Alligator mississippiensis: one gene and its partners. The protein of the gene in region 3 purifies or fractionates together with the protein of the main gene of each other region. This does not show direct contact. Links are inferred from orthologs where the notes say so. Each region holds a gene or a part of one and is shown on either strand. Other genes may lie near its edges.

What was found.
Region 1: the proteins of TRAF3IP2 (region 3) and CD40 purify together in Homo sapiens (affinity purification with western blotting, with the first as the bait; 3 studies listed by BioGRID). This does not show direct contact. The link is inferred for Alligator mississippiensis from reciprocal best matches to the Homo sapiens genes TRAF3IP2 and CD40.
Region 2: the proteins of TRAF3IP2 (region 3) and IKBKB purify together in Homo sapiens (affinity purification with western blotting; 3 studies listed by BioGRID, with this or other methods). This does not show direct contact. The link is inferred for Alligator mississippiensis from reciprocal best matches to the Homo sapiens genes TRAF3IP2 and IKBKB.

The regions. Positions count from the first base shown.
Region 1 is NC_081832.1:490,711-497,895, reverse strand, and holds the start of CD40 (tumor necrosis factor receptor superfamily member 5), read left to right. Parts: upstream 1-4,138; 5' UTR 4,139-4,333; coding exon 4,334-4,390; intron 4,391-5,981; coding exon 5,982-6,063; intron 6,064-6,299; coding exon 6,300-6,428; intron 6,429-6,569; coding exon 6,570-6,716; intron 6,717-7,029; coding exon 7,030-7,123; intron 7,124-7,185.
Region 2 is NC_081830.1:17,229,683-17,237,227, reverse strand, and holds the start of IKBKB (inhibitor of nuclear factor kappa-B kinase subunit beta), read left to right. Parts: upstream 1-4,529; 5' UTR 4,530-4,689; coding exon 4,690-4,794; intron 4,795-5,181; coding exon 5,182-5,276; intron 5,277-5,420; coding exon 5,421-5,538; intron 5,539-6,228; coding exon 6,229-6,298; intron 6,299-7,545.
Region 3 is NC_081824.1:97,061,382-97,068,471, reverse strand, and holds the start of TRAF3IP2 (E3 ubiquitin ligase TRAF3IP2), read left to right. Parts: upstream 1-4,063; 5' UTR 4,064-4,254; intron 4,255-7,090. UniProt on the Homo sapiens protein: E3 ubiquitin ligase that catalyzes 'Lys-63'-linked polyubiquitination of target protein, enhancing protein-protein interaction and cell signaling. Transfers ubiquitin from E2 ubiquitin-conjugating enzyme UBE2V1-UBE2N to substrate protein.

The DNA of each region.
Region 1 (7,185 bases), on a different chromosome or scaffold from region 3:
GCCTCAGGGCGCTGGGACAAGCGGGACAAGACCCCCGCGCCCCGCCGCCCCTCACACCAGCCCGCCCCCCCGCCCGCCGCCGGCGGCACCACGGCCCCGCCCCGCCCCGCCCCGGGGACGGGCTCCGGCGGCCCCGCGCGGGGACCAGCGCCCCTGCAGGCTCCGGCGGCGGCCGCCACGTCCGGCTCCTCGCCCCCCGCCGCCGCCGCCGCGCGGAGGAGACGGGCCGGGCCGCTGCCCACCGGGGCCCGCTCCGCGCAGCGCGGACGAGCAGGGAGTGCCCCCCCCGCGAGACGTCCCGACACGACCCCCACGACGCGGCCGCACAGCGCACACCCCGCGGCCCGGACACCCTGTCACGGGAGCCCCGCGGCGGGCGGGCGGGCGCGGCCCGGCCCGGCAGAGGCGGCGGGAGGCCGAGAAAGGGCAACACTGCGCGGACGCGGTTCTTTGTCAGGCTTTTATTGGCGAAGGACTCGCGGGGCCCGCGCCCCCCCGGCCCCGCCCCGCCCCGCCCCGCCGCGGCCGCACTTACCGCCGGGCCCGGAGCCGCCGCCGCCGCGAGGACAAAGGCGCCAACCGCCCCCACAGCCGCTGCCGGAAAGCGAGACGGGACGGGGCAGGGGGCGGGGCCGCGACAGTGCCGCGCTTTACGGCACGGCCCGGTCACGTGGCCCGCCCGCCATGACGCACGCCGGGCGGCCGCGACAAAATGGCAGGCGCGCTCCGGCTCCCGGCGGCCCGTGCGGCAGCGGCCCCGCCCCGGGGCATGCTGGGGCATGTAGTCCCCAGGGGCTGCTGCGGGCCGCTCCCAAGCACCCCCTTTCCCCCACCGGGCCACGGCCACGGCCCGCCACTGTCCCGCGAGCTGCACCCCCGCGCCACGCCTGCGCTGCCTCCCCGCCTGGGAGGCTAGTCTGTAGCCTCCCCACGCGAAGGAGAGCGGCCCGTGGCGTGGAGGGCTGGGCCCGCGACTCCGAAGGTGGACAGACAGAGCACCCCTGCCAGCCTGGTAACCCGGGCCTGGGCCACGGCCACCCCGCCACGAGTGCCCCCGCCAGCCTTTGTGTCCTTGCTCCTAGTCCTGCCCCCTGCGGCCCCAGAGAAGAGCCGTCTCCATCCTGTCACAGCCCTTCAGGGCCTGGAAAACTGATCAAATCCCTGCTCCAGATTCAGCCCCAGCTCCTTGCCACTCCTGCCTCCGCCATGTTCTTGCTCTGCACTGGACTGTCCGTGGCAGACGTCCCCGTGGGGGGCAGCTGTGCCCTCTCCACCCCGCGGCAGGGCAACAGCGGCCGCGGGCACAGCACGGGGGAGTTCCCCTCCCTGCTCTGTGGCTCGCGTGGGCCCTGCCTGCAAACGCCCAAGTTCACGTCCGTGGCGGCTGCGCCCCGCGATGGCCACTGGGTGGCACCACGAGACCCCGCTCCCAGCCGCGCGGCTCCGGTGCGGGGGGCGCAGGCGAGACAACTCTCGGGCTCCCGGGGCTGGGCGCAGGCACTGCGCGGCTGCACTTTGCACAGCGCCTCCCGCATCCCCTGACTCCGGGAGCCGAGGCTTTTGCCGCTGGCCACGTGGTGCCAGCGACAGCCAAGGGGCCCGCTGCGTCGGTGCCCTGGCACGGACGGCCCTGATGCCAGCCCCGGCACTGCTCTGCCAGGAAGGGGCTGGAGCGGGCGGTTACGTCGACGCAGCGGGGGGCTGCTGGTGCTGGCGGGCTGGAAACAGCCCCCACAAGGGCCCTCGGGCGCCGGGCGGCCGTGGGAGCCGAGGGCCGGCCGGCCGGCAGAGGCTGCCTGGGCAGCCGAGCCGCAGGGCGGTGCGGGATTTCCCAGGCCCTGGTGCGAGCCCAGGCCCGGAAAGCCCCTCCCTCCCGCTCTGGTCTGGAGACACCCCTGGGACCTCTGCTTGGCACTTGAGACGCTGTTCTGGGAAGTGACGCGGCCCGCAGCCGGCAGAGCCTCCCTTCCCCTCCTGCCTCGCTCCAGCTGCGCCTGGCAGGGGCTGGGGCCAGGCACCACGGCGGGGGAGGGCACCACGCCGCCCTGCCACAGGCCCCGGCAGAGGGACGGCGCCGAGGGGAGCGCGGCTCACCCTCACACAGCCACCGGGCCGCGGGGCCAGGGACACGGGCACTGCTGGGCACTGCCCCGCGGGCGCACTGCAGCCACGTGAAAGGCATGGGGCCATTGCGCTGATGCCCCGGGCAGGGACAGCCCCGTCGCATCCTGTCTGCTGGCCGCATGGGTGTCTGTGGGCAGTCTGTGGCCGGAGGAGGGAGGGGGTGGGTGGCGAGGCTGCTGCCCTCCTGCTGGGCCTGCCGTCCGCGCGTGGGTGGCTGGGCAGAGTGCAGCTGGGGACCGACCCTCGCCCCCCAAGCACGGATGCGGGGCAAGAGCGGAGCGGAAAGGGTCCCCCCAGCCTGACAGGCCCTGGCACCGCGTAGGGTCCCACGGGCAGGCAGGCGCAGCACTTTGCCCCTTCCTGCCTGGCGTTTGCACTCTCAGGAGAAGCTGGAAAGTTGCAGAGGGAAGTAGGAGCGGGTTGGGAAAGCCTCCTCGTCAGCGGTGCGTGGAACTCCCCCGGGGCTGCCCGGTCCCCGGCCCCGGGGAATCCTCTGCTCCAGGCCCTGTGGACGCCCCGTCCTGGCTCTCTGTGCCCAGGGTCCTGGAGGCAGGAACAGCCCTGCGGGGGCTCTTGATGACGCAGCCCCTTTGACGGCCTGAGAATGCCCAGCCCCTGGTCCCAGCGTCACCCATGTCGCAGCAGTCCCCAGACAGAAGCTGAACTGAAACCCAGCACTTCTGCTTCCAGGATGACTGGCTAGAAAAGCCCGAGAACTGCCCCCACCATCCCCAGTGGCAGCTCTGGCCAACCTCCACTGGCAGCAAGGGGTGTCCAGAGGAGGCCACCCGCACGATCCGGGGGCAGCAGGGCAGGCCCTACGAGGAGAGGTGACGGGACCTGAACCTGTTCAGCCTCCACAAGAGAAGGCTGAGGGGGGACCTGGTGACTGTCTATGAACTCACTAGGGGGGACCAGAAGGGTTTGGGGGAGACCCTGTTTCTCCGAGCGCCCCCCAGGATAACAAGGAGTAACGGCCACAAGTCGTGGGAGAGTAGGTTCAGATTAGACATCTGTAGGAACTACTTCAGTCAGGGCGGCTAGGATCTGGAACCGACTTCCACGGGAAGTGGTGTTGGCTCCTACCTGGGGGTCTTTAAGAAGCGGCTCGATGCCTACCTGCCTGGGGTCACTTGAGCCCGGTTTCTCTCCTGCCCAGGCAGGGGTCGGACCTGAAGATCTACAAGGTCCCGCCCGACCCGACTTCTATGAGTCTATGATGCTATGACACCTCAGGGCTGCTCGTGCCCCCGTGCGGACCCCTGCTTGCTATGCGAGGGCGCCCGCCTGCCACCAGATCGGGCAGACACGGCCGGACACGGGCATGTGGGGCTGCCAGGAGCCCAGGGGAGCCACAGGCTCTGGTGAGGGCAGGGGATCATCCCCGGGCTCTGGACAGCTCTAGGGGCAAAATGGGGGGCAGAAGGATCTGTGGGACAGTGCCACGAGGCCCTGCTCACATGGGCAAGCACGTCGTGGCCTTGCCACGCCCCGGCTTGCAGCCAGGCCAGTGCCTGCCCCTCCGGGGCGCCTGTTCCTGAACCGCCCTGCCCTGGCAAGGAGAAACTCCCATGCTGAGCACGCGCCGGCACCCAGCTCAGGACACAGCGCAGGCCAAGCCGGCCCCGCGGAGCGCGGGACCGCTGGGGCCGGGCAGCTGCCTGCAGGGCAGGCGGGAGGAGGAGGCCACGGGGGCCACAGCAGCTATAGGAGGCCATGCCCCGTGGCTCCCGGCCAGGCCTGCCTGGCACACGGAGCTGTCCTGCCGGACTTCCCTGTGCCAGGAGACCGGGGAGACAGGAGGAGCAGGCCTGTGTCCACGAGCCCCGCAGCCGGGCGCTCGGCACAGCAGAGCACGCACTGGGGTGGCAGCACCCAACGCAGCCCGACGTGCCTGGGCTGCACCCGGGACCGGCTCAGGGATGCTGCGGCGCGTCCCCCCGCATGGGTGCTGCGGCTGCCAGCCTGCCGAGGCCTGTTCTCACCCCACCTCGCTGGCCGGGGGCCAAGGGAAATCCTGGCTGGGCTGCGTGGCCCAGCCCTGGCTGAAGCAGACGGGGAGTTTTTCTGCGGGGGCTGGGCCCCCCCTGCCCTGCCCTGCCCTGCAGCGCGGATTGGATCTGGACAGCCCCAGCCCTTTCCTGGGCGGCCACGGGACTGCAAGTACAAGAGGTAGCCGCCCCGCCGGCGCAGGAGTGTCCCTCGCAGCATGGAGCCCTGCTGTCTGCTCGGCCTCCTCTGGCTACTCTGCCGAGGCCTCTTGGGCGTGAGTTTCACTTTCTCTTCCCTCCCCAGGTGCGACCCACGAGCCAGACCCGGCTGCCAGGCTGCTGCCGGGCTCCACGCACCCCCCGGCCGCCGGTGCAGGGGCTGGAGCGGGCCAGGGAGGCCTTCGAGCCGCTTGGCAGCCTCTGCTAGGACCCCCAGCTCAGCCCTGGCCCATCGGGGCGCAGCGGGGAGGGGGGACCTTGGCGCCTGCCTGGGCAGGGGTGTTGGCGCAGAGGCCGCGGCGAATGGGCGGGGGGAGAGCCGGCGCTGGCTGGGCACTGCCTGGTGTTCGGCTGGACCGGGGAGCCCCGTTCCCAGGGGCCGTGCCTCGGGGACAGCCGTACCTCGATGCCTGTGGGGCAGAGACGGGCTCAGGGCATGCGGGGCAGCTGGGCAGGCCCCCAGGATCCCTTTGCAACCTGGAGGCCCATGGGTGCCAGTGAGGCGTTGGGGGGCCGTGGCCATCCCAGGTCCTCTGCCCTGCACCGGCGAGGGCACCGATTTGTCTCATTCAATTCCCGTGGGCCAGGGAAGGCGCCTGGCCCAGCTTTGGCGACACGGGGGCCCCTGCCTGGGCAGCGGAGCGTGCCGGTGCCGGTGCCGGTGCCCTGCTCGGAGCTTGGGAATCCCTCGATTTCCCAGCACGGCCAGACCCCAGCACGGCTGCCTCTCGCTCCCAGGCCGAAGCAGGCTGCAGGGGACAGGGCTCAGCCGTGCTGCCGCAGAGCCTGGCTGGGCACGGGCACGGGCACGGGCACGGGCTGCGTGCGGGGCAGGAGCGTGGAGAAGGGGCAGGCTGCGGGGGCTGAAGGGACACGGGCTGGGGTGGAGGGGTGGAAGCAGACAGGGCTGCGCGTAGGCGGCGGGGGATCCCAGGCAAGCGGAGGCGTCTCTCGGTTCCCCTTTCGGAGGCATTGACCGTGACCCAGGGTCCCATCCTGCCCGGGGCCCCATCAGGCAGTTCCCTCCCTGAGGGCAGAGCCCCAGCCCCACAGAACCGCCCATGGACCCCGGCTAGGGCACACGCCGCCCCGGACCCTGGTGCCTGGCAGGGCTGAGCCCCAGGGCAGGGGCAGCTGCAGGGGCATCTGCTGCACCGCCGGCCCAGGAGGGTTGTTTGCTTGCCGACAACCCCTGCTGTACTGCTGGGGGAGCCTGGCCCAGCTTCACCCCAGGGAAGGGGCACCCCAGGTCCGCCTGCCAGGCGGGGGCCCAGCACTGCCGCCAGGGGAGGAGGCTGAGCCCTGAGCCACCACCTGGGCTCCCAGCCCTGCCCCTGCCCTGGCTGCCTGCTCAGGCGGGGCAGACACGCGTGGGCCCTGCCTTCGCCAGCTGCTAGGAGATGTGGTCAGGGCACTGACATGTGCCCGCCGCAGCAGAACCGCTGGCATCCCACTTCAGGGAGGCGCGGGCGGCGCGGGGGCGGCAGAGCTCCGGTCCCAGTGGTTGTGGTTATGTGGGCAGGGTGAGAGCGAGCGCAGGGTGCACGGCCCGTGCCAGGCGGCACCGTCCAGGGGAGGGGAGCCAGGTCTGGGGCAGGTGGGAGCCAGGCCTGCGGTGGCTGAGCTCTGTGCTCTGCTCGGTTCCAGCACTCGGCCGCTGGGACGGACATCCGATGCAGTGAGAGGCAGTACGTGCACGAGGGCAGGTGCTGCAACCGCTGCGCCCCAGGTACAGAGCAGATCCCTTCCCTGCCCCTCCCTGCGCCAGAGCCTCGGCCCAGAGGGGACCAGCTCGGCTACCTTGGCCCCAGGGCCAGGACCTGGGCTCGGTGCTGCCTGCAGAGCTGGCCGGTCTCGCCCCCTGTGCCCAGTGGCACCTCCTTGGGTGCTGGGGGCACGGCAGGTGCTGGGCTCCATGGGCAGCTGCACCAGGCAGGAAGCAAACGCGGGTGCTGTGTGTTGCAGGAGAGAAGGTGACGGCTGCATGCAGCGAGGCGTTGGAATGGTCCACCTGTGCCCCCTGCGAGGTGGGGTCCTTCCAGGCCCACTGGACCAAGGAGAATCACTGCATGCCCCACAGATACTGCGACCCCAGTAGGTGCCGGCACAGGGCTGTCTGCCAGGCAGGCAGCAGTCACGCAGCCCTGCCCATGCTCCAGCAGCCCCTGCCACAGGAGGGGCCTGGCCATGGCTGGCTCCGTGGCCCACCTTTCCCTCCCTCCCTTCCTTTGGCAGATGTTGGCCTGGTGGTAAAGACGCCGGGGAGTGAGAAACAGGATGTCACATGTGGCTGCCAGGTGGGCATGCACTGCACCAGCGCCCAGTGCCAGACCTGCAAGCTGAACCCCCGCTGCAAGCCAGGCTTCGGGGTTGTGCCAAGAGGTGAGTGCGGCCTGGCACTTGCAACCCGAGAGGTCACAGGGCCATGCTGCCCTGCACAACCCTGGCTCCCCACCGCCAGGTCACAGCAGCCCCAGCAGGGGCAGGCGAACAGGCCATCGGCTCCGAAGCACAGAGCGGGTGCAGGGACCTCCCAGGGGGTGCAGCCGGCCCTGCTCAGGCAGGCATGCATGCTGCACCTGCTCTGGGGGAGCCTGGCAGACAGGTTGGGGTGTCCTCGTTCGTGCCCCACACCTTCTCCTGCCCCCCCGCCTGCCTGACGCTCACCCCTGCGGTCGTCTCGGCTCTGTTCCAGCCCAGGAGGATGCGCCCCCCACGTGCCAGCCCTGCCCGGACGGCAGCTTCTCCAATGTCACCTCTGACAGCAAGCCATGCCAGCCCTGGAGCAGGTACTGCAGGGTGGGGGTGCGGCGCTGGGAGGTCAGCCAGGGAGGGGAGCGGTGGCTGTGAG
Region 2 (7,545 bases), on a different chromosome or scaffold from region 3:
CCACGCCCCAAAATACCGAAACGCAAAGTTTAATGTTGCCTGTGTGCTGTTGGAAGTCCTCTTTGCAGTCTCTCTAGCAGACCTCAGCCTGGTCAAGCTTGCACTGCTCAGCAAATAGTTCTCGGGGTAGCGGGGAGGCTTTGAATCATTAACACATCCCTCTCCCCTGGGAACAGCATTACAGTGTTGCCAGGCTGCAGCCTGGGACGCTTCCTGGATACTCCATTTAGGCTGTGCTGGCTCTGAATTCCTGTCCCTTTGTTTTCCCTCCCTCTATTGCCCCGCTCCATGATCTCTGACTTGGGATTAGTGGGAGCTTCACACAATTGTTCTGTGATGTGCTGGGGCGGGGCAGGGGGCAGCAGCTTTCCTTTCCCATTGGCTTGCCAGTTCCTGCCCCAGCTGAGCTCTTGCCTGGCCCGAATACCCCTGGAGCAGTTGGTTCCCTGAAGCGATGTGGAATGTTTAATCTTCTCTGTCTACAGGACACAGATGCAGGGAGCAGTTTTGTCTTTGTACACAGACACGTTCTGACTTGTTTGGTTGGGATCTGGATTTTAGAAACAAGAGCAATTAACTTCCAACGGTTAATCCAGAATCTGGGGAGGGCCACGCAGGGGAATCCCAGCCGACCAGGAGCTGAATCCTTTGCTGGACTGCAGCTGGGGGCTGGGCAGGCAGCAGCTGGTTTCTCTCCATGCCCGTTGTGTCACATTTGTGGGGGTTTTCACTGCACACTTAGCTGAATCCTTCTTTCGGTGATGCAGCTCATCAGCTATTTATTGTACTCTGTCTTGCCCTTTAGCTACCTGCTGCCCAGCACAGGCCGTTCCCTGGGGCTGAGGGAACAGGGAGTCTCTGAGCGTGGGGAGTCGAGCACAGGGAGCTTTTCTGAACCACCATGGGAACAAGACAATGACTGGATGAGAGGAAGGGCATCCGTGGCATAAATGCACATTGTCTGGGTCTGGTGCTTTGGCTAATTCCTCTTTTCCTTCTTTGTAATTACTTACTCATTAAATTTCTGTCCCCCCCCCTATCCAAGAGGTTCGGAGCCTCACTGTAAATGTGTGACCAACTCTGTCATTTACCCACATCCCTGCAGTACTGGTCACAGGGGAACTCTGGCATGTTGACAGCAGCCACCATGGAGAGACTAGTCTAGGCAAGCCCAGCTGTTCAGTCCCTTGTGAGAAAGTACATTTAATAATTAGACAAAGCAGGATTTTGAAGTAGAAATAACTGAGGCAGCCCCTGAACAGCAGAGCTGCCCCACAGAGCCAAGGGCAGGATTACAACATCACAGAAACGGAAGTGCCATTGCTGCCTTGCATGGGGTAGGGCAAAAGCAGCTTCAGTGAACCTCTTTGTCTTAGCAGTACCCTACAGTGATGGGCAGGGACCAGCCAGTGACCTCCATTGTGAGACACAGAGACCGGCTTTTGAGGTTCACTATGACCTGTGAGGACCAGCTGGCAATGAGTTACGGTTGTCGCGGTTTTGGGCAGCTCGTTTCCGAGCAGTCGCTGCCCATTTAGAGCTGACCTTTTCATGCTTCAAGAGAGTGGAGCTGGCCTGGGTTGCTTGGCATTTTCCTGAAGGCTGCAAGGAAAATGGTGAGGGCGTATTCCAAACATTGCATCCCAAGCTGAGCACAGGGTGTACCCGTGCGGCGCTAGGGGCCTAGCTGAGGGTCTGCTCTGGGTAGGAAGACAGTGCCTGTGGTTGGTATTGTGTTACGTGTTCTGACAAGCCATGTCCTGCGAGGAGCCCTGGCAGAAAGCAGATGCAGGTTTTGTGCCTGCATCTCAGGGAAGGTTTGGCTCCAGTGTTTCTCTGCAGCAGTAATCTTTGTTTTTTTGCTTGTTTAGCTTGCCTACATATCTCCTTTCTGATAAACTCCCTCTATGCCTCCCTCTGCACCTGTGTCTCCGCATATTTGCACGTTTCCCGTATGTTGCTCCGTGTGGAATGCATCTCCTCGGCCAGCGGGGCCTGCTGCCCAGCTCCATGTGCGTGAAGAGACCCCTCGTGTCATGCGTCCGTGCAGAGAGCCAGATTGCTCTTGCTGTGGGAACTGGCAGTTTGACTCTGGAGCAAAGGAGAAGTAATGATCCCATGGGGTCCTGGGCACCCAGTCAGTATGCACAGGTGCCCCACATCTCCTGTGCCAGGCCTGGAGGCTGTCTCTGTTACAGTGGAGCCCTTTGTGTTTTGGGGCGGGGAGGATGGTATCAGGTTGCAATTTAAAGATGCTTTGGATGGAGATCATGCCAGATCACTGTTTGTTAACAAGTATAAGCAAACATTGTGCTCCTTCTGGAGTTTACAGTCCAATGGACGTCAGAGGAAGTGCCACTGTACATGACATGTTCGCTTAGCACATAGATGGGACCCTCCCTCCAAAAACGATCCTCTGTGACTCTCACCCCCAGGAAAGTACTCTTTTCTCCCATACCTTGCCCAGCTGCAGTTACAGTTCCTCCTACGTGCTGCCAACTAGGTGCCTGGCACTTGTTGGCACCTGGAAAAGCAGTGATGCTAGCTGGATTCACTCTTTCCTGTGACGGGGAGAAACTGGACTCCTCCACTGAGCAAAGGTCCTGTTTTCTTCACTGGCTGTAAGCAGGGGCCCTGCCTCTTTATAGGCTGCTAGCTATAAGCCTCCTGGATCTCCCTCCCTCCTGATTTCCTTTCCCTTGGGCAGACTGAGGAGTATAATTTCCATGCACTCTGCAGTTTGCGCCAGCCACCACTTGCTCTCCACCCTCCTCTCAAACCCCTCGCTGGCCCTATCTCCTCTGAGAAAAGAAGCAACTTCTCACAGAAGTGCTTCAGGCCTCTTCTTGCTACCACCTTCCAGCAGTATCCCTCTCTGTCCAACATGAAATGTGGCTCTTTCCTTTCTCAAAGTGAACCCTGAGTCCTCTCTGACATTCCTTTTCCACCTGACCCTTCTTAGCCCTTGATTTCACATCCTATGGCAGGTCATCTCCTGTGTATAATCTCTGACCATAGAAGAAATGGGTCAAGAGGGGCCTGCCCTGCTTGGTGTACTGGTGTACTTGGAGCGCTTGTGAGCATCCTTTGTCCCAGAGCACTGAAGATGCTCAGCTGGTGGGCGCCGGCATCTGTGGATGTCATTAGTCCCTGAGCTCCCATGCGAGTACAGCAGCCACTTCCCCTTGTTGACCAGCCTCCTTGAACTTGAGGCTACCCTCTGCTCCGAGGTTCGGATCCTACCACCGCAGAGATGCTGCTTTCTTGGCAGTCATGCCTGGACATGTTACCAATATGACCCCAGTAATTGGCAGCTGGTGCCATCTGTGCTGGACCCCCCTCCAGACCAGTAGTTGGTAGTAGTAGAAACTTCTTTTGGAAACGTTTGACAATAGCTAATCCTTCCAGTAACCCAGTGATGTAAGTCAGCATTGCCTATGCTACCCATTACTATACCCGAACCTTTCCTAATTTCATAATCAGCCACCCCCTTTTGCATTCCTCTGGGTCCTCAAATGAATGGACACATCACATCCGATTTGCTCATCAAGGGGGAATTCCTCAGCTGGCATGACTGAGGTGCTATGCAGGTGTGGCAGACCCTGGCCCTAGCTATCTGCCTGGCTTCAGGTGGAGCTCACCTGGCCAGAAGACAGTGGAGGGGCACTGGCCTTCACAGGAGCGGGAGCTTAGCCTCCGCTGGTGGCCCAAGTGAGGTGGGCTCTTTGTCCCTGTGAAAGCTCATTTGAGAAGCTCTAAGTGCCTCCACTCTCCACTTCCCCTTTTTCTTGCTGCAGGGTGTGAACAAGACAAACAAGTGACGGAGCTAGCTGGAGGAAAAGAAACTGTGACTCAGGGCTGCGGCTCCCAGGCCTCCTAGGTCACCCCTGTGGAATGAGGCCCCGGATGGCCCCCAGGTAACCAGTCTCCGGGGCTAGGTTCAGTGAGAAGTGGCAGGGATGGGTGGCGGGAGGGGGAAGCGGGGGTAGACGAAGTCCAGGAGCAGGTGCTGGGTGGCTGCCGGGCAGGACCTGCCGCCCTCTGAGCGCCAGCGAGACCCAGGCCCTGTGCTGTAGCCCTGGGGGTTGGAAGGATGCCCAGGCAGGGCAGGCCTGCAGGAGCATAACGCTGCCCGTGGCCTGCCCTGTCCGGCTCCTGCTGTGCCGCAGGCAGCTCATGTCACTAGCTGCCTGGGGCCAGCGGGCTCCTGGGGCGAGCTGGCACCACACCCTGTGCCACGCTGCATCCTGCATGCCACCGCATCCTGCCTTGGCACCCCACCCTGCATGGCACCCCACCCAGTGGGCTGTGTGGCTCCGGGGTCCCTGGGTGCAGCAGGGCCTGCGCTGTCGTCAACCCACCGCCCCTGCCCTGCCCTGCCCGCAGCTGCTTCCCCCGGACCAGCGCCGCTCCCTGCAGGACACGTGGGCGCAGCGCGACCTCCGGCCCGCAGGGGGCGCTCGAGAGCCGAGCGCGCCTTCCTTCCCCGCGCTACGGCGCCTGCGTGGCCGGGCCCCGCCGTGACGTCAGAGCCAGGCACAGTGCGGAAGCGGCGCGCGAAGCGAATCCGACCCCGCAGACCGCGGCCCCCCCCCCCCTCCTGCCCGTCCCGCCCACGCGTGTCCGCGGCGCGAGTGCGGCCCCCGCTGAGCCGGCCTGGCTGGGCCGCCCTGTCCCGGCAGCGGCAGCATGAGCCGGCCGCCATCGCTGCAGACGCAGACGTGCGGCTCGTGGGAGATGAAGGAGCGGCTGGGCACGGGCGGCTTCGGCAACGTCATCCGCTGGCAGAACAAGGTGCGCCAACCCTCAGGACCTGGGTATCCCCCCCGGGGGCTCCCAGCATCACAAATGTCAGCGCGTTCATTAAACACGGGGTCCGATTCGCGTGGTAGTCCAGGAGCGTCCTAAAAAGTAGCGGCTGCGTGCGATTGCCTTCCTGGCATAAAGTCGGCGCGCCGCGACCTGTAACCGATGCGCGCAAGCGTCGTGTCGCGGGCACGCTGGAAACCTCCCACGATAGATTGGAGAGTTGGTAACCTTCGCCGCGCGGCGCCGGGCCCGTGCGAGCGCCGCTTGCCGAGCCGTGTCGCTCGAATGGCCCGGGCGGGCTCGGCGGCTGGCCCTGGCACGGCCGTGGCGCTCACCCGTTGTTGTTGCGCGCGTTTGCTTTGTGCCGCCCAGGACACGGGGGAGCAGATCGCCATCAAGCAATGCCGCCAGGAGCTGAGCCCGCGCAACCGGGAGCGGTGGTGCCTGGAGATACAGATCATGAAAAGGTCAGGGTCCTTGTCCCAGGGTGCACCTGCCTCCGCTGTGCAGCTGCTATTGCTCAGGCGTTTGCACGTGCACCCTGTCTAGGAGCAACCTGTGGTGAGTCGGTTCCTGCCATCACACACTTCTACCCTCTTGTCCTCCCCTAGGCTGAATCACGCCAACGTGGTTGCTGCCCGTGAGGTCCCCAAGGGGATGCAAAATCTGGCACTGAATGACCTTCCGCCTCTGGCCATGGAGTACTGCCAGGGGGGAGACCTCCGCAAGGTGGGGCCCCTGGCTGGATGGGCGGGATAGCCATCGAGCACTGCAGAAATGAAAGGCTTCCCTTGAGTTTTCATGCACTGTTGCCATCATGTCTTCCTGCACTCACCAGGACTGTGCCTGCTGCCACCTCCCCTGCCCTTGGCAGGCTTGGTCCTGCACGAGTTCTCATCCCCTTCCTTGGTCTGTAAACACTTCCCATTTCTACTGGGTAGGCAGTGTGGGTCAGCCTGCGGGGTGCCCACACGGGCGTGTGCAAGAGACAGACAACAGGATGTGAGCAGGGCCTAGAACGTCATGGAGCAGGTTGTGCCAGTGGGTGGGGTCCTGTGGGGAACTGATAAACCCCTCTCGGTCACAGGGCGGAAAAACACATAGGGCTGGATCAATCTTTTTTTTAATTTTTTTTTTTAATCTTTGTGAGCAGCCCCAGCACAGATTTTGCTCAGAGGATAGGGCCATGATTAGGGGACCTTGTCCTGAGCTGGTTGGGCCAAGTGTGTTCAGATATGGGGATGGGCCCTGGAGGGGTTGCTGGCTGGAGGAGCTGGCAGAGAAGGGAAAGGGTAGGTCTGGAGCACGTCTGAGTTGATCATTCTGCAAAGGTCCCGACCCTACAGAAGCTCCTGCTTGCAAGTAGCATGTGTAGGCTGGGTGCGGCAGATTTGTGATATGTTGCCTTGCTCCCTCCAGTACCTGAACCAGCTGGAGAACTGCTGCGGCCTGCGGGAGGAAGCCATCCTGACGCTGCTCTCAGACATTGGTAAGGGGCCACGTGGCCTGTGACAATCCCTGTGTGGGAAGGCAGGCATTTCTGTCCTGCTAGCCCTCTCCACCTGAGGGAAGTAGAGCTGTGACCCTGGATGTTCCCATTCATAGATGTTAGGGTCGGAAGGGACCTCAATAGATCATCGACTCCGACCCCTGGCATAGGCAGGAAAGAGTGCTGGGTTCAGATGACCCCAGGCAGATGCCTATCTAACCTCCTCTTGAAGACCCCCAGGGTAGGGGAGAGCACCACCTCCCTTGGGAGCCTGTTCCAGATTTTGGCCACTCGAACTGTGAAGAAGTTCCTCCTAATGTCCAGTCTAAATCTGCTCTCTGCTAGCTTGTGGCCATTATTTCTTGTAACCCCCCCAGGGGCATCTTGGTGAGCAGAGCCTCACTGATGCCCTTCTGTGCCCCCAGGATGAATGGATGGGCAGCCACAGGTCGCCTCTCAACCTTGTCTTGTGGAGCCTGAAGAGGTCCAGGTGTCCCAGTCTCTCTTCATAGGGCTTGTCCTGCAAGCCCTTAACCATATGAGTGGCCCTTCTCTGGACCCTCTCCAGGTGATCCACATCCCTCTCGAAGCGCGGCGCCCAAACCTGGACGCGGTACTCCGACTGTGGTCTAACCAGTGCCCGATAGAGGGGAAGTATCACCTCCTTGGTTCTGTTTGTCATGCATCTGCTGATGCACGATAAAGTGCAGTTAGCTTTGCTGATGACTTCGTCACACTGACGACTCACGTTCATCTTGGAGTCCGCTAGGACTCTGAGATCCCTTTCTGCTTCTTCCGTGCTACCGAGCAGGTCATTTCCTAGGCAGTAGGTGTGCTGGACATTTTTCCTTTCTAGGTGCAGCATTTTGCATTTCTCCTTGTTAAATTGCATTTTGTTGTTTTCTGCCCATTTGTCCAACCTGTCCAGGTCTGCTTGTAGTTGTTCCCTGCCCTCCGGTGTGTCCGCTTCTCCCCACAGTTTTGTGACATCCGCAGACTTGGACAGAGTACACTTCACTCCCTTGTCCAAGTTGCTGATGAAGACATTGAAGAGTATCGGTCCAAGGACCGAGCCCTGTGGGACCCCACTGCCCACGTCCTTCCAGGTCGATACCGACCCGTCCACCGCTGCTCTCTGGGTACAACCCTCTAGCCAGTTTGCCACCCACCGGACTGTGTAATCATCCAAGTCACAGCCTCTTAATTTGTTCACCAGTATGGGGGGAGATACCTTATCGAAGGCCTTC
Region 3 (7,090 bases):
TTCATTCATTCTTGTGATGCTCTCTGCAACCCTCAAATGGAAGACATCTGAGTTCTGTTTTATTTTTACTATAGGACAAACCCTGATCTTTTGGCCTGTGTTTAAGTAGCACAAATCCTCAGGGATCAGTGGGCAACAAGTGGAGATTGGCATTAAAGTGCAGACTTCTTTGTTCACTGCTTGCTTATCAGTAAGTTCAGATCATATGTAGACTGGTTTAAATTAGTTGTTACTAATGAAAGGACTGCACACAGTAAGTATATCCATGACCTTGGGCCCAATCCTCTGTGCATGGCCATTTAGGTATAGTGAGTATGTACTTCCTCCAGGACTCTCATTGACTTCAGTGGGCTATATATTTTGCCCCATAGTAAGTGTTTGCAGTATTAGGCACAGAGGCTGCCTATTCACCACATGCTCAATGGGGAAGGGGGCGTTAATTAGAGCAGGTCCCAGAAAGCTGCTCTAATTAAAACACCTCATTGTCACATGTATTAAGCCCCTGCAAGTGTAAAAAAGGCCACAGGTCACTTTATCTAAACCTTGTTCGATGAGGTTTAGGTAAAGTGCCCGAGCAACAATTTTTAAACCTGCGGGGGCTTAATACACGTGATGGCGGGGCCACACTGGACCATTCTAATTCAAATGTGAACCAGTACATGCACCCTAAATTACAGTGTTTGCATAGAAGCAATAATGCTATTTTTAGTAGTCAGATGCCTCAGAAAAGCAGGTCACTTGCTACTTAAGAGTGCTTGCTTCCTAAACTGTGCTTTAAAAGCTTGGGTAGGCGTCTGTACACATTTACCTTGTCTTCTGCCAATCTATGTCCATTTCCATAAGAACATGGGAAACCATGAATCGGCCATCAGAAGCTGAGAGTCATTTTCATCTGCTGCCTGCCATTTCCCCACATGCAGGGTCAGAAAGGCTGCGGGTAGCCAGCAGGCAGCTGTCAGCTCATGGAGAGAAGCCTCCCCTGTACATTTCAGCTGCCGGCTGTCATCTGAGAGCTTTAAATGCCAGGTTTGCTAAAACAGTTCCAGACCTCAGACCCTTTCGGCACTGAAAGCCTGTAGTTCTTGGGATCAGGAAGCTCAGGTTATTTATGTTTCAGATTCAGACACGCTAGGAGGATTGCTAGTACTGTTAGGTGTCGCCAGCTGAAATTTGCTGTTCTATCAGTCTAGGTTTTGGGTTGGGAGAGACTAGGTGGAGAGTCTGGACACAGAAAGTGCTCTTAATGTCTGCATGAGCATAACTAACTTCAATTCTTGCCCTTGAGACAGAGCACTGTTTAATGTGCTGCATGAATGATTGATAAACATGCTTTGGTCTCCTTCACAGTTCATTGCACCAGTTAGATGATGATGATGCACATGTAAGTCACAGTTAGCTCTACCTTATATACTGACTAAACCCCACCCCCCAAAAGTCAGTCCCACTCAGTGCTAACAAAATGCATGTCCTGCATGTGAACTGACAGTATTTTTACCTTCCCTCTGCACCCCAACTAAGAAAGCTCAAGAAGGGTCTCCCCTGGATAGGAAGTAGCTTAGGATTCCTCCAAAGAACTCCTTACTCCTCGCTGTCTTTAATTGATCAGTGTATAAGCCAATCTCCGAAGGTTTGCCTTGCAATTCTAGCAATAAATGGCTTGGCTGTATATATGAGTAAATATGGTATTTCCCCGAACTTCCCAGAATGAGTCACTACCAGGAAGTGTTCAGCCAAGAACTCCAGATCCTGAATCTACCCAGTGTCTGTGTGTTGCATGCAGTGACTGTTCCAGCAAGCCAGCTGCAAAACCAAGCCTTTACCTCACTGCAGCTGCCTTTGTCATACACGTACCTTGTAAAATACCCGTGTGAGATGATTCTCAGAATAAGCCCAGCCTTCCCACAAAACGACACAGCTACAGCCCTGCTGCTCGCAGCTGTCAGACCAAGGGTTGTAATTGTGAAAAATGTGCATGTGGCAAAACAACACATTTGGGCCACGACCAGATGGCTTTAAACTTAAACTGATTAAAAGGCCCCATTTATAGCTGCACTGCTAGTGCCACATTAATTGGTAGGAATGCAGTCGCATCCAGGCCTGGCAAGACCCCACTGCCAGAACAGGTGGTCGCCTAGGGCAGCAAAATGTTTAGGAATCATGGGCACTGAGGGGCACATGTTTTCTAGTTTGCTGTGGGCACAGAAAGCCACAGCACTGATGCTAATGTGAGAGGGGAACAGTCAGCCAGTCACACTTTGTTCCAGTAAGCCAATAATACTGTTCTGCAATACCCCCGGGGAAGTGGAAGTCTCTCTCATTCATAGCACTGATGCAAGCAGCTCAAGAGAGCAACGTGTTCAGTCCAAGAGAAGGAGGAGGGAGTGACAGGAGTGTTTCAAGATGCTCTGCAGGAGCCTTTTCTGACAGTGGTATGATATAATAGGCTGCAGAAAGAGTCCTCACAAGCTAGTAAATGAGAGTTGGAATGGGCGCTTCTCAAAAGTGGAAGGAAAGAACTACAGCAGTTTCCGGGCTTTTTCTTCTGTCATGACCCGGCTTCCAGCTCACACCCTTATTTCCAGTCAGCTTGTGAGGTCAATTCTGGTCTGATCCCAACCCTCCAAATGAATATCTGCCAGGCCCCAGCCTTTAAGTGGCATGACCCTAGTGAGGTCTCAGCCTATACGCTGGGAACCACTGGACTACAATACTTTAGGGCAGTAGCTCAAAGTACTGTCAGTTTATTGGAATAAGTATTTTGGGTTATAGCTGTCAACTATCCCCATACTTTTGTAGCTTAGGTTAGAAACTTGGAAAGCAGCCGTGCTGAATGAGACTTATAGGTGACAGAGGGTAATAAAAGTAGGCATAGGTTTGCAACTGGACAGGTCTGTGAGACCCAGCTGAAATTAGAGGTGTTATCAAATGGCAGTAGGTAATGCTTACTAAAAGCACTGATGGTGCCTGTAAACTTTGCTTCATTTTAAAGTCTATGGGGAGCAAATACGCCAGACTATCAGGAAGCTGAGAGGTCATGGGCTCTTCCAGGTGTAACCAAATTCACATGCTGAAGTCCCAGTTAAACTCAGCATTCAGTGGCAGGCTCTTTACCAACATGTTGTTACAATGGGAGGGAGTTCAGAAAAGAGTAGTACAAACAATCACGCAGCTGGAGGAATTGACTTCTGAGGGATGATTTAAATAGCTACATCTGCATAGCTTGGCTAAGTAACAATTAAAGGGGAATGTGATGGCAGCTTGCAAAGATTCACAGGGTAAAACAGATCTGAGAAGTGACTTAATGTTGTACCCAGGAGCATAAGGATGGATGATAGGGTGAAATAAGAAAGGAAAGTGTAGGTTAAACATAAGGAAAGACTTTCTGATTATGAGATCCTCTGGACTTGGGAGCTGTGGCAGCTGCTTTTCCTAGGACACAGCTGGAGAGAGCATTACAGAATGTATTGTGGAAACCAATGCTGCCTTGGCAGAAAGACAACTGGGATGATTCAGTGTCTCTAAAAAAGTCTATCACAGTGTCGCCAGCTCCTATGATACTTGGTGTTTTACTCAAGTCCCAGCAGCTAGATGCATGTGAATGCATGAAACTGTCCGTTCTCATTTCATACCAAAAATAAGTTTCAAACTGTTAGCTTTGCAGGGGCAAGCACACGCAAACGTTGAGTGTGCCCTAAAGACAGAATACCAGAAAACAAAAACAAAACAAAAACATATTTAAAATCAAGGAATTGTTGAGTTAACCTTGGAAGTTTCTGGGTGGTCTCAATCCTGATATGCTAAGGGTGACAGTGTCTCTTTTAACAAAATAAAACAAAAATGAGAGATGCCTTTTCCAATCTTGCACAGTGTACTTAGAAATCAGACTGGATTTTCCCTACTCTTCCTTAGCTGTTTAGTTTAAAAGAAAGCAGCCCGGCTTCCTAGGGGAATGACATTTTGAGGGGAGTTTTTTTAACTTCAAACTGGCTTTCCTCTGTTACTGATTCACTCCCCCACAGGGAGATTTTCAGGCTGAGGCTTTCCACGTCTGCTTTGTAATTTGCATACATGGTTCACTTCCTGCTGCAGAGCCTGTTCTACTGCTTACCTGGGAGAGGGAGAGTGTCGTAAAAGAGGGAAAAGACAGCCAGGAGAAAAATAGAGAGAGGGAGAGGAGAAGAGTGTGGGGGAGACAGCCCTAGTGTCTCCCTCTCCTCCCTGGTCAATCCAGATCCAGCCCTTTCTGGCCCCGAGGTAAGCTCTTCTAGAGATACTGCTCCTCCCTCTCCCCTCCCTTGCTTGTTATTCACTACTGACCCACTTTGTGCCTCTTGTTTTTCTTTCTGGCTTCTAACTTCCTCCAGCTCTACCTATTTTTTCTCCCATAGCAACTGGACAAGTTTTAGCTATTTTGGTTACACTGTTATAGCTACTTTGCAGCTGGATAGCAGGATTATTTTGAGTAAATGCTGGGAACGGACAACACTCCAGCAAACAGTGCTTAGATGTGATCCTAGGTATTGTATGGCCACCTGAAAATCATGCAGCCGAGGCCTGAACCTGGCAGGGCGCTCCACAGGTGTATAGGCAGGAGGGCAGGTTACAAGGACCCCTTCACCTCTGCACTTTGTGCCCTGCCATACTTTGTGGTCAGCCAGAGATCCTGTCTCAGAAGAGAGGCATAGTAGCTCTGTGTCCCAGGAGCTTCCAGCAGCATTGTGGCCCAGCTGGGGAAGCATGATTTTATACAGCTTCCTTCGTAGGCCCACACTTACTGCACACAACCTCCTCCGTGATGAGGGGTTGTGTCTGATAATCTAGGAGTCACCCAGAGAGAAGGAATCATTATGGAAAATGATGAAGAAATAGTCTCCTAGGTAATACAGTCCTACTGGATGTTTAGGACAGAGAAATTGTAAGTGATCTGTTATTGTTAAAAAAAAATCCAACATGTAAAGAGTCCAAGAGGAGGAGGACAAGGAGGAGGGAGTGACAGGCCTCGCCTGTCTCATTAACTTCCTTTTCAGCAGACCCAGTTTTGTAACTCCTCACTATCTCCTGCTGACTAGTGAGAACTGACTCTATCCTACCAGCCACAGCTCTTAACATGCAGGAATCCAAGTACTGAAAAATCAAGCCCCTGCTTAGATTTAAGACTGGTCTATGCTTAAAATTTATATTAGCAGAGGTAAGTCAGTTAGGGGAATTATTATTTTTTTTTATTATTATTATTATTATTACCAACAGAGCTATGGTGATACAAGTCCCAGTGTAAACAGTTATACCCACAAAAATGCTTTTATTTGTATAACTTATTTCATGGAGGGAACCAGCATAGGCTTCCCTGGCAGAAGTACTTTTTCACTGTGATTCGTCAGGCTTATAGCAGAAGAATTTGCTGGCATATAGGTATACAGGACACAGGGGCCCAGATGGAAGGAAATGACAAAACACTTTCCTGTCTCCCTTTGCTCAAACAAAGCAATTGGGGCAGGGAGAGAAGTTGGCAAACCTGAGTTCTTCCTGTCATCCCTTTATGTTTGTCCAGCACATTGTTAAACATGCAGCCTAGCGGATATTATCCATAGCACTGCTTTATGCATTTGACTTTGGGAACGTATTTGGTTTCTGCAAACTGGTGTTCAAGGCAGTTGGTTGCAACCAATGACTACAGAGGGTATGTCTGAGAACACCGAACTGGCCACTCCTCACTGTCAGATTGTCATAACAGCTTAGAGCACAATAGTACAATGTCACAGCTGTGCCTTAGATAATACAAGCACTTGTGAGGGGCTCAGGCTTGGAAAGAACTTTTCTGTTTTTCTTTTTATCTACCCATGACGACTAGGTGCAGAGAGCGACTGAGAGTACTAGTACTGTGTTAAGGACACGTGGCAGTATCTGCCTAGTTGAGCTTGATCATGTGGCATCTTTAGGTACAGTTATAAAAAGGATTATATGATGTAATTGCTTGCCACAGCAAGGGACTGGATTCAGTGACCCAGGTTTTTCTGTGTTCTTATGGGAAGCTAGAAACCAGCTTTCACTATACAACTCTGTTTTAGTAGCCTTGTCGTTTTGGTGCAGAAAATTGATCTGGCCTAACTATTTAGTCTGGAGCCAAAAGAGACTGGATCCGCCAAGTGTGAAGATGATGCACCAAATACCCCTAAGTTACAAGTGCAATTGTGATTTCTTACTTGTACTTTGGTCTTCCTTTGTTTCAGAAGTGTCTTGTTGCTACCTCATCAGTAAAGCATAAGGACCAGGCAGAATTCCAGGCCCTAATACTCGGGAGAGCACAGGGACAGCTCCATGACTACTTCCTCAAGAGAGGCAGGGCAGCAACTTTAAGGGACAGAAGGCACGTCTATATGTGCAATTAGTGCACCTGAATTTTCTGCATATTATTGATCCCGATCCCCAGGTGGCAGGGAGACAGCTGTCCCTGCAACCAGCACAGCTTTCCCGGCCACATGGAGATTGGATAGGTCCCAATCCTCATGTGGCAGGGAGACAACTGTCCCTGGAGCTGGCACAGCTCCTCCCCGCATTGAGGCTTAGCCAGGCAGGTGCAGGCTCCTGGCTCTCTGGGCTGACCAAGAGCAAGTTGCTCCTGGTCAACGCCTATGTGTGTCCTATGGCACATTAGCTAATGCACCACTTATCTAGTACCTGTATATGTTGGTACTAGCAAACGGTGCATTGGACTAATACAATGCACAGTAAGTCCCATGTACGTGTAGATGGTGATGCTTTATTGCACATTAGGTTAGTCTAATGCACAGTAAAACTTTTTGTGTAGATGCTTCCAGAGACATAGAGTAAGGAGAGCCGTTGCCCCCCTTATTTTATCCAGGATTGTTGGGTAGTAATGTGAGCTCTTTCCTTAGTGGCTAGAGAGCACCAAGAGATTATGACTCAACACAGAATGCCTTTGCTTTTTAACTTGGTGCAGTACCTCAATACTGCATAGGCAAAGCCGAGGAGAGGGGCTGTCCAGTATACTGAGAAGACCTTCCATTTCAAAGCATCTCATAAAAGGCAATCTTTTGATAAGCCAAGAAAAAATTACATTAAAATCAATAGT